2 linked regions of the Saccharomyces cerevisiae S288C genome follow. Each later gene encodes a partner of the first gene's protein in a complex. Each region holds a gene or a part of one and is shown on either strand. Other genes may lie near its edges.

Region 1 (5,564 bases):
CATCCCTTGGACTGAAAGCACCAGTAGAATTTCTTCAGTTATATGATCTAGAAGATACCGATACTGATAAATATATATTTGCATACGGAGGGGAGGAGAATTTAATAAAATTAGTGGAAATAGATTCGAGTTTCCAATCTTTAAAGCAAATTTGGGAAGCCAAGAATGTTAAAAACGACAGGTTGGATATGAGAGTCCCAGTATGGCCCATGGCCCTAAGATTTTTGGAGCCCTCCCCTGGTAAAACTGAAAAGGGTAAGCTGAACTACCAGTTTGCAGCCATAACCCGTTGGTCCCACCTCACCAAATACAGCACACAACATGGCAGAAAACCGTTCGCTCAGATAGATTTATTACCTAACCGTGAACCATTATCTCAGATGGAAGTTTTTGATGCCAAGGGAGAAAATGTTGTCTCTTCGTTGGGGAATTTTCAATCTGAAACCTTTAATGAACTGAATGTGATTACTACTGACTACAAAAAGAATGTTTTTAAATTCGATGGTAATGGAAGAATGTTGGGCAAGGTGGGTAGAGATGATATCACTGGTTCGTCAACCTATATTCATGTACATGACGGCAAATATCTTTTACAAGGTGGTTTAGATAGGTATGTTCGGATCTTCGATATAAAAACTAACAAAATGCTGGTGAAGGTTTATGTTGGGTCCCGTATAAATTTTATTGTTATGCTGGATGACGTTGAAATCGAGATGCCACTAAGTCCAAGTGCGAAAGCTGCCAAAGGGAAGCAAAAAAGGAAGGTTACAGAACTTGAAGAAGACGCAGATGAGCTTTGGAATAAATTGGAGGGAAAGGTAGCTGCTTCTAAAGCCAGTAAGAAAAGCAAAATTTAATAGTAAAGGACGCTAATTGAAGGCAAAGTTTTACTAGTCGGCGGGAAAAATTATTAAAAAAAGCACTTCCTGAACGCGACGCTGAATAACTTATAATACGTTACATAATTGTATACCGTCTAGTAAACTTACATACGCTTGTCTATCTTGTATGCTGATGCATTTTATCAAATAGCGTTATTTCCCGCACGAGCCAATTTTTTATCGTGCCCCTTCTTACGGTTATGGTTAGCTCTAGCCCCTTTCCTTTTTTCATTCTTAGCATGCTGTCTTTTCTTCTGTTCAGTAGATTGAGGTTCATGTTTCTTAATATTTTCAGATTTTTTTTGTTTGGCTTGTTCTTTGACGACATTTCCATCATTTTGGCTATCACGATTATGAACATAAGACGTTTTCCCTGTTTTGCTATTTCCTTTGAACATAAACTTCTTTTCTAAAAGTCTTGCTCGGGTAGGAGATCTTTCTAACATCCGACACCAACCTTCGATTTTTTCATCCGACCATGAAGTCATTTCTTTCATAGTTTTCCTGACTTTTGTACCTCTTTTTGATCTCTCAAATAATTTCGGATCCTCTTTCAATAGATTCCACAAGTAAGCTTCAACAATATGATAGTTATGATCTTGTCGCACTTCATTAGAATCATCTTTTGTATCATAGCTTTCTTCGTCTTCTTGAAGTCCAATTCTTTTCGAAGGATCGGACCGGTTCACATCGGCTTCATCATAAGTGTCATCCCTTTCATCTTCATCAGCCTCGTATAAAAGTTTCAATGCTCTTGTCAAAGTTTTATTTCTTAATTCATCCGGAACACCCTCCGAGATAATCTTTTTGTCTAGCTCTTTATTTTTTGAGCTATCTCCTCTATCCAATATACTCAGTTCTTCAGTAAAGGATGCATTATCACCATCTGACACCGGCTCTACTTCTTCCTCCGCAGGTTCTCTGGAGAATGCTTCGATAATGGTAGGATCCTCAAATATTTTATTCGTTACTAATTCAATGTTATTATCATAGGCAAGCAACGTTTGAGATAATTGATATTTAGAAAACTGGGGGAACAATTCCATCAACGCGGACAGTTGTTCTTCATTAACTTCAGTACCTGATGATGTTGGATAGCTCATATGGTCTCCTTCGTCCATTGACAACCCCCCTAAATTCAGAAATAGTAACTTGCTCTTCAAATCAGGAAGCCTTTTGTGGACTCCTTCATTTATGAGCATTGTTCCTAAAAGAGGATATAACGCCAAAGTTTCAAAATTGCTTATGCCTAATTCTTTAGTTATTTTTAGTAAACGATCAGCAGAAACAGAAAATAAACTGATAATGATCAATTCTCTAGCCTCTTTATGACCCCGGCCCTGTCCCTTTGCCCATAATGCCTCTAAAATTTCAATCCAATTTGCCGTAAAGAAGTTCTCCGCAAACTTATTTGGCTGCATGGATTTGGCAGACAGCAGATCTTCAACGCACCTTAAATCTATTCTTTTAAATTTTCCAGATTCTATTAACTGCTTCAAATGCTGTTGAACTTGGTACGATTTGTCCAATTGTACACGTTGCGTGTTGATCCGTGGTTTCAATGAGCCATCGATCAAACCACGAATAGAATCTGGATTACGTCTAACATATACTTTGATCAAATTCCACAGGGAGTCACCAAAAATCTGAAGATGTAATAACCCGCATTTCTTGATCAATGAAAATATCCAGCCTTTTAGTAAATATAACTGTTCAGACACATCATGGTTGATACCGAGACTTAATAACTTTCCTTCCTCATCAGCAATTTCATGCAAGTAAGTTCTCAAAAATAAACGAAGATGATCAAGTGTAGATTCATCTAATAATTCAACGTTAGCACCTTGCATCAAATACTCAAAATACGTTACATAGGTTTCTATTAGATGCAGCCATACTACGGGGTCCTTTTCAATTAATTGAGCTCTGAGTTTAAACGGTGGAAATTTGACAATGGGCAGAGAAATATCTGCATTACCCCCATTTATTTCAATAACGCGGTTGTACCTTGATAACATTATTCTTAGTGATTCTATCCTATAAAAATTTCCAAGATTCAATAGTTAACTCGAATGTCTCTCATTTATGAGAACTAGTGTTTTATATTTTCATTTTTTCTATGGCCGCGCAAAATCCATTGGCAGATATTCAGGTATATAAACGTTACAAAGCCAAGAGGAGAATGGAAGGCCAACAAAAAAATTCTTGTACAATTGCATATATTGATTCATTACAATATTACTGCCGTCGTTCTCTCAGTCATAAATCATGTTTTCCCTTTCCCTCTCAGCATGCTTTTTCTCGGCCTCTTCCATTAAGCGAGTCTTATGAGACTTGGCACGCTCTTGAGCTAGCTTTTTGCCTAACTCGCCCTTATTGTACTTTTCATTCGTCTCTTGAAATCTCTTCTCAGCAGCTAACCTTGCGGCCTCCTTTGGGCTAACTTTATTTTTGCTCGGATCACTTGTATCAGTTAATTTGCTGCCTTCTTTCCTTTGCACAACCGGGACAGTTGTACTCTTTAGTTGTGTCTTCTTCTTTTTATCTTTCTTCTCTTTATGTCGAAGTTCTTGCTTTGACTTGACTGTATCACGATTAATTGGTTTTGTTCTTGCTTTAGTTGCCACCGTCGTAGTTTGTGAAGGCATTGGTTGGGTTTTACTTCCGCAAAGCCCCATACTATGTACTTAAATATTTGTTGTTGTTTGCTGGTGCAAATTTCCTGGATGATGTTAATGATAATTATAGACCGCTTTTATATAGTCTTATGCCTATCCTTTTCATTTTTATTTTTCTAGAGGGAAAAAATCGCTGATTACATGAGGGAAAAAAATATACACATTTCTTGATCATAGAAGATTCGATCTTATATATTATACGTTTAAATGTTTATTTACAAGCATGCATAAATTGAGATGGGGAGAATGAATGCGCTAGTACTATTGCTCCTTAGCAATAAAGCTATGTAGTTGAGGAACAGGAATGTCCTCGGCACTCAAGTCAGAATAACCGCTCAGATACTCATTTAATATTGGGTATGACTCTGCGCATCCAGTGGTATACCTATATACTTGCTTGGTAGCGCGAAAGTAGGGCGTATATCTTTTTAATATTTTCAAGTACAGCTCTATTCTGTCTTCTGAATTCGAAGTAGAATCCTCATTTTTCAAATTTTCCAATGGCTTCGGAACTTTTATGTCGTCTTCTGTGGTCGTAGTCGTTGCTGGTGTTCCTTTAGCTTTTGCAGAAAAGACCTTTTCATCCCTCTTTGATTGTGACCATACGACAGTGGCATCCCTCAAAGCGGACAGATCAGCATTGGCTATATATTGTTGGCCCAATTCATTCAGTTTCTTGACCAACTCCAGCCATCTATCCAGAATCTCTTCATTATTCGTGTTGTCTATGCTTCCCAATGATTTCAGTAGTATTCTATATGATATAATAGTTCTTGGAATATGGTACAAAGTATAGTTTTTATCGATAAAATCGATTATGCTGCGTTCGTGCCAGATAGATGCTCTAGTTAACATAACGTTAAAAAATGGTTCATCAATTTTTTTGACCCCACTGTAAAACGTTATGATTTCTTGAAGCTTACGGAAACCATTGATATTGTCATTAATATAGTTTTCGAAGAATATTGTGAAAAAAGTGTTGTTTAGTGAGGACAAAATTCCAGGATTAACAGTGTTACCATAAAATTTTACAGCCTTTTCCCATATTCTATAAACATGATCAAAATCGTTCTGTGCTTTCCATATATTCTGCAAAAAAGAGTTCACTGTAGAGACTTGTAAAATAATCTTGTATGGCATTTCATCGTTGATAATTTTGTCAAAGAAACTTTCTGCCAACGTTAAATTCTTGGAATCACCAATGAAGCTTAAGTGCGTTTCAATTAAATAACCGTAATTCCTCACTTCAGCCTTTTCACATAATTGGCCGAAGAGGGATAATGCCTTTTCGTAGTCTTCCGCCTTGATGAAGACTTTTATCAGTCCGCTGTAAAGATTGGGATGGATAAATTCTTTGGATTGAATAATTTGGTTATATAGCTCGTTAGGCTCAGTCAGAGAACGCGTTTTTGCATAAAGTAATGGCAGCATAAAACCAACCACTTTTGGTTCTTGGAATGCCTGTGAAGTAGTCTCGTCGGACAAATTCTTTGACGCTTCCCAAATTCGAATACAGTCATCGTCAAATGACAGCTCTTTAAATGAAGTCAATAGATGAGTAGCTCCATATCCGCTGACAGACACCTTGCCTATCAAAATGTCATCAGATATATCCTTTAATGAATTACATAGAAAGTTCATCATTTCCTTGTGAAAAGATTGCGAATCGTAGTCTGGCTTTCTACTTAATTTTACCAATTGGTCTCTCGTCGACCTCAGACCGTTATGCAGCAGATGAATCAAACGTGACACCCGGTACGCATTGAAATCAGGCGATTCTCTCAAAGAATAGTATAACTCCATTGCTCTGCCCATGGAGTCCCAAAACATGGCGAATGATGGATTTTTATTCAATTGGTTGTTTCCTATTCTTTTGTATGTATTTTGCAAAGGCGTGGTAGAGTACTTTAAAGCAGATGATACACACTCATCAAACGAAAGAAGCTCGTGGCGCCATGGAGAAGCTGGATCCACATTAAACACATTCTGTTCTGTTTTGCGCTGT
Region 2 (8,555 bases), 730 kb from region 1:
AAAATTGTTCCGTCATCTGCGAGATCTACTGGTAGTTCTCCTCAGCCACTACCTGAATTAATCAAACCATTACTGGCAGATCAACTTAATAATTTAAAGAACAAGCTGGATTATATGCTGAACATTAAAGACACAACTTTTCAGAGAAACACATCATTGCTACAAAATTTCATCGATTATGAAGAATACAGTGGAGAGGAAGAAGAGCATGACAAATATGGAGGAAATGAAGATACATCCAGTTTTAGATCATATGAGTTTTTCGAATCGATGGCGGAATCACAAATTTGTAAACCTCGGTTATTAATAAATGGGCCCAAGGGAAATGGTCAACAATATGTCGGAGCCGCAATTTTAAATTATTTAGAAGAATTCAACGTCCAAAACCTGGACCTTGCCTCTTTGGTTTCGGAAAGTTCTAGGACTATTGAAGCTGCTGTAGTGCAAAGTTTTATGGAAGCAAAGAAAAGACAGCCCTCAGTTGTATTTATTCCTAATTTAGACATTTGGATCAACACTATTCCAGAAAACGTTATTTTAGTCTTATCAGGTTTGTTCAGATCTTTACAAAGCAATGAAAAAATTCTTCTATTATGCTTAGCTGAAAATCTTGATATATCTGAAGTTAAAAATGGTATTTTATCTGATTTTGCTTTTGATAAAAATATCTTTCAACTGCATAAACCATCCAAAGAGAATATAACGAGGTATTTTTCTAATTTAATTGAACTACTGAAAACAAAGCCAAGTGATATTCCCATGAAAAAGAGAAGAGTCAAACCGTTACCTGAATTACAAAAAGTAACTTCAAACGCAGCTCCAACAAATTTTGATGAAAATGGTGAGCCACTGTCTGAAAAAGTGGTATTAAGAAGGAAGTTGAAATCTTTTCAACACCAAGATATGAGATTGAAAAATGTGTTAAAAATCAAACTCTCAGGCTTGATGGATCTTTTTAAAAACAGATATAAAAGGTTTAGAAAACCACCTATTGATGATGCCTTCTTGGTTCATCTTTTCGAACCAGAGACAAGCAATGATCCCAATTGGCAACCTGCATATATAAAAGATGAGAACATGATTCTGGAGGTTTCAACAGGGCGAAAGTTTTTTAACATGGATTTGGATATTGTCGAAGAGAGACTTTGGAATGGCTATTACTCAGAACCAAAACAGTTTTTAAAAGACATTGAACTGATATACAGGGATGCAAATACCATTGGGGACAGAGAACGTGTCATTAAGGCCTCTGAGATGTTTGCCAACGCGCAAATGGGTATCGAAGAAATTTCAACCCCGGATTTTATTCAAGAGTGTAAAGCTACTCGCCAAAGGGATTTGGAAAGGCAGGAACTTTTCTTAGAAGATGAAGAGAAAAGAGCTGCAATGGAATTAGAAGCCAAAGAACAGAGTCAAGAAAATATACTGCAAGAACCTGATTTAAAGGATAACAAGGCTAATGAGTTTGGTGTAGCTGCTGGTAATCAATTGCAAGCTCAGCTGCAAACAACTATCAATACAGCCTCTATCGTTAATAACAGCGAGGTCCCTCAACCAATTGATACCAACCTGTATAAAAAGGAGATTCCTGCGGCAATTCCCTCTGCAGTAGATAAAGAAAAAGCGGTCATCCCTGAGGATAGCGGTGCAAATGAAGAATACACAACGGAACTGATACAGGCCACTTGCACGTCAGAGATAACCACCGATGATGATGAAAGGGCCAGAAAAGAACCAAAAGAGAATGAAGACTCTTTGCAAACGCAGGTTACGGAAGAAAACTTCAGCAAAATAGACGCTAATACTAATAATATAAATCACGTAAAGGAAATTCAATCGGTTAACAAACCAAATTCCCTCCACGAAACGGTAGAAAAAAGGGAACGAAGTCCGATACCAAAAGAGGTTGTGGAACCGGAGCAAGGGAAGAAGAGCGACAAGGAGCTTATTTTGACGCCCGAACAAATAAAAAAAGTATCTGCATGCTTAATCGAACACTGTCAGAATTTTACGGTTTCTCAATTAGAAGATGTTCATTCGTCCGTTGCAAAAATAATATGGAAAAGTAAATCAGCATGGGATAAAACAGGAACTGTCGATGAAATAATAAAATTTTTATCTGAATAAGCAGGAGTCCATAATGTTTATATAATTCTTAAATGTAGTTAGTTCATATACATGAATGTGCACTTTTCTTGAAAAGAAATAGATTTAAAACCACACCTTGTATATATATTATGCTTTTTTCCACTACTTTATTTTAACAGTCACTGTTCTGGCATACGTTTCGGGTAATGACCGAGAATGGAATATGTATTGAACATATTGAAATTAAACATGTTCATAATATCTTCTAACACCATTGGAATTGTGAGAAGTAGATCCGTACCATCAATAGCCGGCTCAAGATGTCAACTGAATACTCTGCTGATTCATCTAAATCATTTATGATTGCAATGCAATCTATGATTGATACTTCACAAACCTTTAATCTAGATAGATCGAAAATCTCTTTACCAGATTTTGATGACGAGCTAAAAAAAGTCCAAAAGGATGAACAAAATCAAAGAACTGAACTAACTGTTCTCTCACAAGATAGAAATGATTGGGATGATATATTTGAGGAGTTTAAAGACATTTCATTTGCTCAACTGCAATCTATAATTGATTCATACAAAACAAAGAATGCAGTTGCAGTATATAAAAAAATTGGAAAACTAATCAATGAAGCTGAAACGACACTAAGCAGCAATGTATTATTAGAAACTGTACTGCAAATGGTTTATAAACATCAAAAGCAAGAGTTAGAGAAAGAATTGTTGGATTTTTTAGGAACAGGGAATATAGACCTTGTTTCTCTGTTACTTCAGCATAGAAGAATGATCGTTGCTACACCTATAGAAACGACGATTCTGCTAATAAAAAATGCGGTCAATTCAACGCCAGAGTTCCTGACACAGCAAGATATCAGGAATCAAGTTTTGAAAAGTGCAGAGGATGCCAAGAATAGGAAATTAAATCCCGCCACTAAAATAATCAAGTACCCACACGTCTTCAGAAAATATGAAGCAGGATCCACTACAGCTATGGCCTTTGCCGGTCAAAAATTCACTTTGCCAGTAGGGACTACAAGGATGTCGTACAATACCCATGAAGAAATTATAATTCCGGCAGCAGATCAGGCATCCAACAAGAACTATCTCTATACAAAACTATTGAAAATAAGTGATTTGGATCATTTTTGCAAGACTGTATTTCCCTATGAAACTTTAAACCAAATACAATCCCTTGTTTACCCCGTAGCTTATAAAACAAATGAAAATATGCTAATTTGTGCACCTACTGGTGCAGGTAAAACAGACATTGCATTACTGACAATAATTAATACAATAAAACAATTCTCCGTGGTCAACGGGGAAAATGAAATTGATATTCAATATGATGATTTTAAAGTTATTTATGTTGCCCCTTTGAAAGCACTCGCTGCTGAAATCGTCGACAAGTTTAGTAAGAAATTGGCGCCTTTTAATATACAAGTAAGGGAGTTAACAGGCGATATGCAATTGACAAAGGCGGAAATTTTAGCCACTCAAGTAATAGTCACAACCCCTGAGAAATGGGACGTTGTCACCCGTAAAGCAAACGGCGACAACGATTTGGTTTCAAAGGTCAAATTACTAATTATTGATGAAGTTCATTTACTGCACGAAGATAGAGGTTCGGTTATTGAAACTTTAGTTGCACGTACCTTGAGACAGGTAGAAAGCTCTCAATCAATGATTCGTATTATCGGTCTATCAGCTACATTACCCAATTTTATGGATGTAGCAGATTTCTTAGGAGTAAATAGACAGATCGGAATGTTCTATTTTGATCAATCATTCCGTCCAAAGCCTCTAGAGCAGCAACTTTTGGGCTGTAGAGGTAAGGCAGGTAGTAGACAAAGTAAAGAGAATATCGATAAAGTCGCTTACGACAAATTGAGTGAAATGATTCAAAGAGGGTACCAGGTAATGGTATTTGTCCACTCAAGAAAGGAAACTGTTAAAAGTGCAAGAAACTTTATCAAACTAGCAGAATCTAACCACGAAGTTGACCTTTTTGCACCTGACCCTATCGAAAAGGATAAATATTCTAGAAGTTTAGTGAAGAACAGAGACAAGGATATGAAGGAGATTTTTCAATTTGGTTTTGGTATCCATCATGCTGGTATGGCCCGTTCAGATAGAAATCTTACTGAAAAAATGTTTAAAGACGGTGCTATCAAGGTACTGTGTTGTACTGCAACATTAGCATGGGGTGTTAATTTACCTGCTGATTGTGTTATCATCAAGGGTACACAAGTATATGATTCTAAAAAGGGTGGATTCATAGATCTAGGTATTTCAGATGTTATTCAGATTTTTGGCAGGGGTGGTAGGCCGGGCTTCGGTTCCGCAAATGGTACGGGTATTTTATGTACTTCCAATGATCGTCTGGATCATTATGTTTCCTTAATTACTCAACAACACCCTATCGAATCTAGATTCGGTTCCAAGTTGGTTGATAACCTGAACGCCGAAATTTCATTGGGGAGCGTGACAAATGTAGATGAAGCAATCGAATGGCTTGGTTACACATACATGTTTGTTCGTATGAGAAAAAATCCTTTTACTTACGGTATTGATTGGGAGGAAATTGCAAATGACCCGCAATTATATGAACGGAGGAGAAAAATGATCGTAGTAGCTGCAAGGCGATTACATGCTCTCCAAATGATTGTGTTCGATGAAGTGTCAATGCATTTCATTGCAAAGGATTTGGGCAGGGTGTCCTCTGATTTTTATCTTTTGAACGAATCCGTCGAGATATTCAATCAAATGTGTGATCCCAGAGCCACCGAAGCTGATGTATTGTCCATGATCAGTATGAGCAGTGAATTTGACGGTATAAAATTTAGAGAAGAAGAATCCAAGGAGTTGAAGAGACTTTCTGATGAATCTGTTGAGTGCCAGATTGGAAGCCAACTTGACACCCCTCAAGGTAAAGCAAACGTGCTATTACAGGCTTATATTTCCCAGACTAGAATTTTTGACTCAGCACTATCATCCGATTCGAATTATGTTGCTCAGAACTCTGTTAGAATTTGTAGAGCATTGTTTTTAATAGGTGTCAATAGAAGATGGGGTAAATTTTCAAACGTCATGCTAAATATTTGCAAATCTATTGAAAAGAGGCTCTGGGCCTTTGATCACCCTCTCTGTCAGTTTGATTTGCCTGAAAATATTATCAGACGCATCAGAGATACTAAACCTTCCATGGAGCATCTTTTAGAATTAGAGGCAGATGAGCTCGGAGAGCTGGTGCATAATAAGAAGGCCGGGTCTAGGTTATATAAAATATTGAGCCGATTTCCAAAGATTAATATAGAAGCTGAGATTTTCCCCATTACAACAAATGTAATGAGGATACATATTGCATTAGGTCCAGACTTTGTATGGGATTCCCGGATACATGGTGATGCACAGTTTTTTTGGGTTTTCGTTGAAGAATCTGATAAGTCGCAAATCCTTCATTTTGAAAAGTTCATCTTAAACAGAAGGCAGTTGAATAATCAGCATGAAATGGACTTCATGATCCCATTGTCAGACCCTTTGCCTCCGCAGGTTGTCGTAAAGGTTGTGTCGGATACTTGGATTGGCTGTGAATCGACCCATGCCATCTCTTTTCAACATTTAATCAGACCATTTAACGAAACTTTACAGACAAAATTGTTGAAGTTACGTCCTCTACCTACATCAGCCCTCCAGAATCCTTTAATTGAGTCAATTTATCCTTTCAAGTATTTCAATCCCATGCAAACTATGACATTTTATACACTTTACAATACCAATGAGAATGCGTTTGTTGGCTCGCCTACAGGTTCTGGTAAAACGATTGTGGCTGAATTGGCTATATGGCATGCCTTCAAAACATTTCCTGGGAAAAAGATTGTTTATATCGCACCAATGAAAGCATTAGTACGTGAAAGGGTTGATGACTGGAGAAAGAAAATAACACCAGTGACCGGAGATAAAGTTGTAGAGTTAACCGGTGATTCTTTGCCAGATCCTAAAGATGTGCATGATGCCACCATTGTTATTACAACTCCAGAAAAGTTTGATGGTATTTCCCGTAATTGGCAAACTCGTAAGTTTGTTCAAGATGTATCTTTAATTATCATGGATGAAATTCATTTGTTGGCTAGTGATCGTGGTCCTATCTTAGAAATGATTGTTAGTCGTATGAATTATATTTCCTCTCAAACCAAGCAACCGGTCAGACTGCTAGGTATGTCAACTGCTGTTTCAAACGCCTACGACATGGCTGGCTGGTTGGGAGTTAAGGACCACGGACTGTATAACTTCCCGTCAAGCGTCCGTCCGGTTCCATTGAAAATGTACATTGATGGATTTCCAGATAATTTGGCATTCTGTCCTCTGATGAAAACAATGAACAAACCTGTGTTTATGGCCATTAAACAACATTCACCTGATAAACCAGCATTAATATTTGTTGCATCGCGTAGACAAACTAGACTAACGGCTTTAGACTTGATCCACTTATGTGGAATGGAAGATAATCCACGTAGGTTTTTGAATATAGACGATGAGGAGGAACTGCAATATTACTTATCACAGGTCACTGACGACACTTTAAAGTTATCACTCCAGTTCGGTATTGGATTGCATCATGCAGGTCTAGTGCAAAAAGATCGTTCTATTTCTCATCAGTTGTTTCAAAAAAACAAAATTCAGATTCTGATCGCTACATCAACCCTAGCGTGGGGTGTCAATTTGCCAGCTCACTTGGTTATCATCAAAGGTACACAATTTTTTGATGCAAAAATTGAAGGATATAGAGATATGGATTTAACAGATATCTTGCAAATGATGGGGAGAGCTGGTAGACCGGCTTATGACACTACAGGTACTGCTATCGTTTATACAAAAGAGTCCAAAAAAATGTTTTATAAACATTTCCTAAACGTTGGTTTTCCTGTCGAGTCCTCCTTGCACAAGGTATTAGATGATCATTTAGGTGCAGAAATAACGTCAGGTAGCATAACTAATAAGCAAGAAGCGTTAGATTTTTTGAGTTGGACATTTTTGTTTCGTAGAGCGCATCATAACCCGACATATTATGGCATTGAAGATGATACAAGTACAGCAGGAGTCAGTGAACATTTGAGTTCTTTGATAGATAGCACATTAGAAAATCTGCGAGAATCACAATGTGTTTTATTACATGGAGATGATATTGTTGCTACGCCATTCTTAAGTATATCCTCATACTACTATATTTCACATTTAACGATACGCCAATTATTGAAACAGATACATGATCATGCGACTTTTCAAGAGGTATTACGATGGTTATCGTTGGCTGTTGAGTATAATGAATTGCCTGTAAGAGGTGGTGAAATTATCATGAATGAAGAAATGTCGCAGCAATCGAGGTACTCCGTTGAAAGCACTTTTACCGATGAATTCGAATTACCGATGTGGGATCCACATGTAAAAACATTTTTATTACTTCAAGCTCATTTAAGCCGTGTAGATTTACCGATTGCAGATTATATCCAGGATACCGTATCAGTTTTGGATCAATCTCTACGTATTCTACAGGCTTATATTGATGTCGCCAGTGAATTGGGTTACTTTCATACGGTATTGACCATGATAAAGATGATGCAATGCATAAAGCAAGGGTATTGGTATGAAGACGATCCTGTTAGTGTACTTCCAGGATTACAACTGAGAAGAATCAAAGATTACACTTTTAGCGAGCAGGGGTTCATTGAAATGACGCCGCAGCAAAAGAAGAAAAAGCTGTTAACCTTGGAGGAAATAGGAAGGTTTGGATATAAGAAATTATTAAATGTTTTTGATCAACTAACTTTTGGAATGACAGAAAGCGAAGATACGAAAAAACGTTTCGTCAGTGTCTGCCAAAGATTACCGGTTTTAGAAGGCATGAAATTTGAAGAACAGGAAAATAACGAGGTGTTAACATTTTATAGCAAGCACCTTTCTAGTAAGCATAATAATGGGTTTGAAGTATATTGTGATAAATTCCCTAAGATACAAAAAGAACTATGGTTTTTAATTGGACACAAAGGCGATGAACTGCTGATGATTAAAAGGTGTCAACCAAAACAAATGAATAAAGAGGTCATAATACATTGTGATCTATTTATTCCCGAAGAAATTCGTGGCGAAGAATTGCAATTTTCCCTTATTAATGACGCTTTAGGATTACGTTATGATATGGTCCATAAACTAATCTCTTAGTGAGACACAATTAAAACAACAATTATTTTGTGAAAGATAACAGTGGAAATCTATCTAGTATACATCTTCGTATATATTTTCTTACATAACGCATTTAGAATTTTTTTACTCAAAAAAGTCATCCTTTTCATCTTCTCCCACAACTTGATCCAATTCTTTTCTATCCTGTGTAGGTGATACTTGTGATCCATCCTCATGATCTTTATCAGGTGATAATGTTAATCCGATGGAATCTTCATCCAA

Evidence for each region. Proteins that work in one complex are often made in the same cells at the same time.
Region 2: CUE3 (region 1) and SLH1 share a complex: the UniProt entries of both Saccharomyces cerevisiae proteins name them as parts of the RQT (ribosome quality control trigger) complex.

The regions. Positions count from the first base shown.
Region 1 is NC_001139.9:300,513-306,076, forward strand, and holds CUE3 (Cue3p), read right to left. Parts: upstream 2,900-5,564; coding exon 1,025-2,899; downstream 1-1,024. Other genes in the region: ribosome biosynthesis protein NSA1, read left to right, coding at 1-857; YGL108C (uncharacterized protein), read right to left, coding at 3,137-3,559; RMD9 (Rmd9p), read right to left, coding at 3,821-5,564. UniProt on the Saccharomyces cerevisiae protein: Involved in activation of the ribosome quality control (RQC) pathway, a pathway that degrades nascent peptide chains during problematic translation.
Region 2 is NC_001139.9:1,029,383-1,037,937, forward strand, and holds SLH1 (RNA helicase), read left to right. Parts: upstream 1-2,408; coding exon 2,409-8,312; downstream 8,313-8,555. Other genes in the region: chromatin segregase YTA7, read left to right, coding at 1-2,127; EFG1 (Efg1p), read right to left, coding at 8,418-8,555. UniProt on the Saccharomyces cerevisiae protein: Involved in activation of the ribosome quality control (RQC) pathway, a pathway that degrades nascent peptide chains during problematic translation.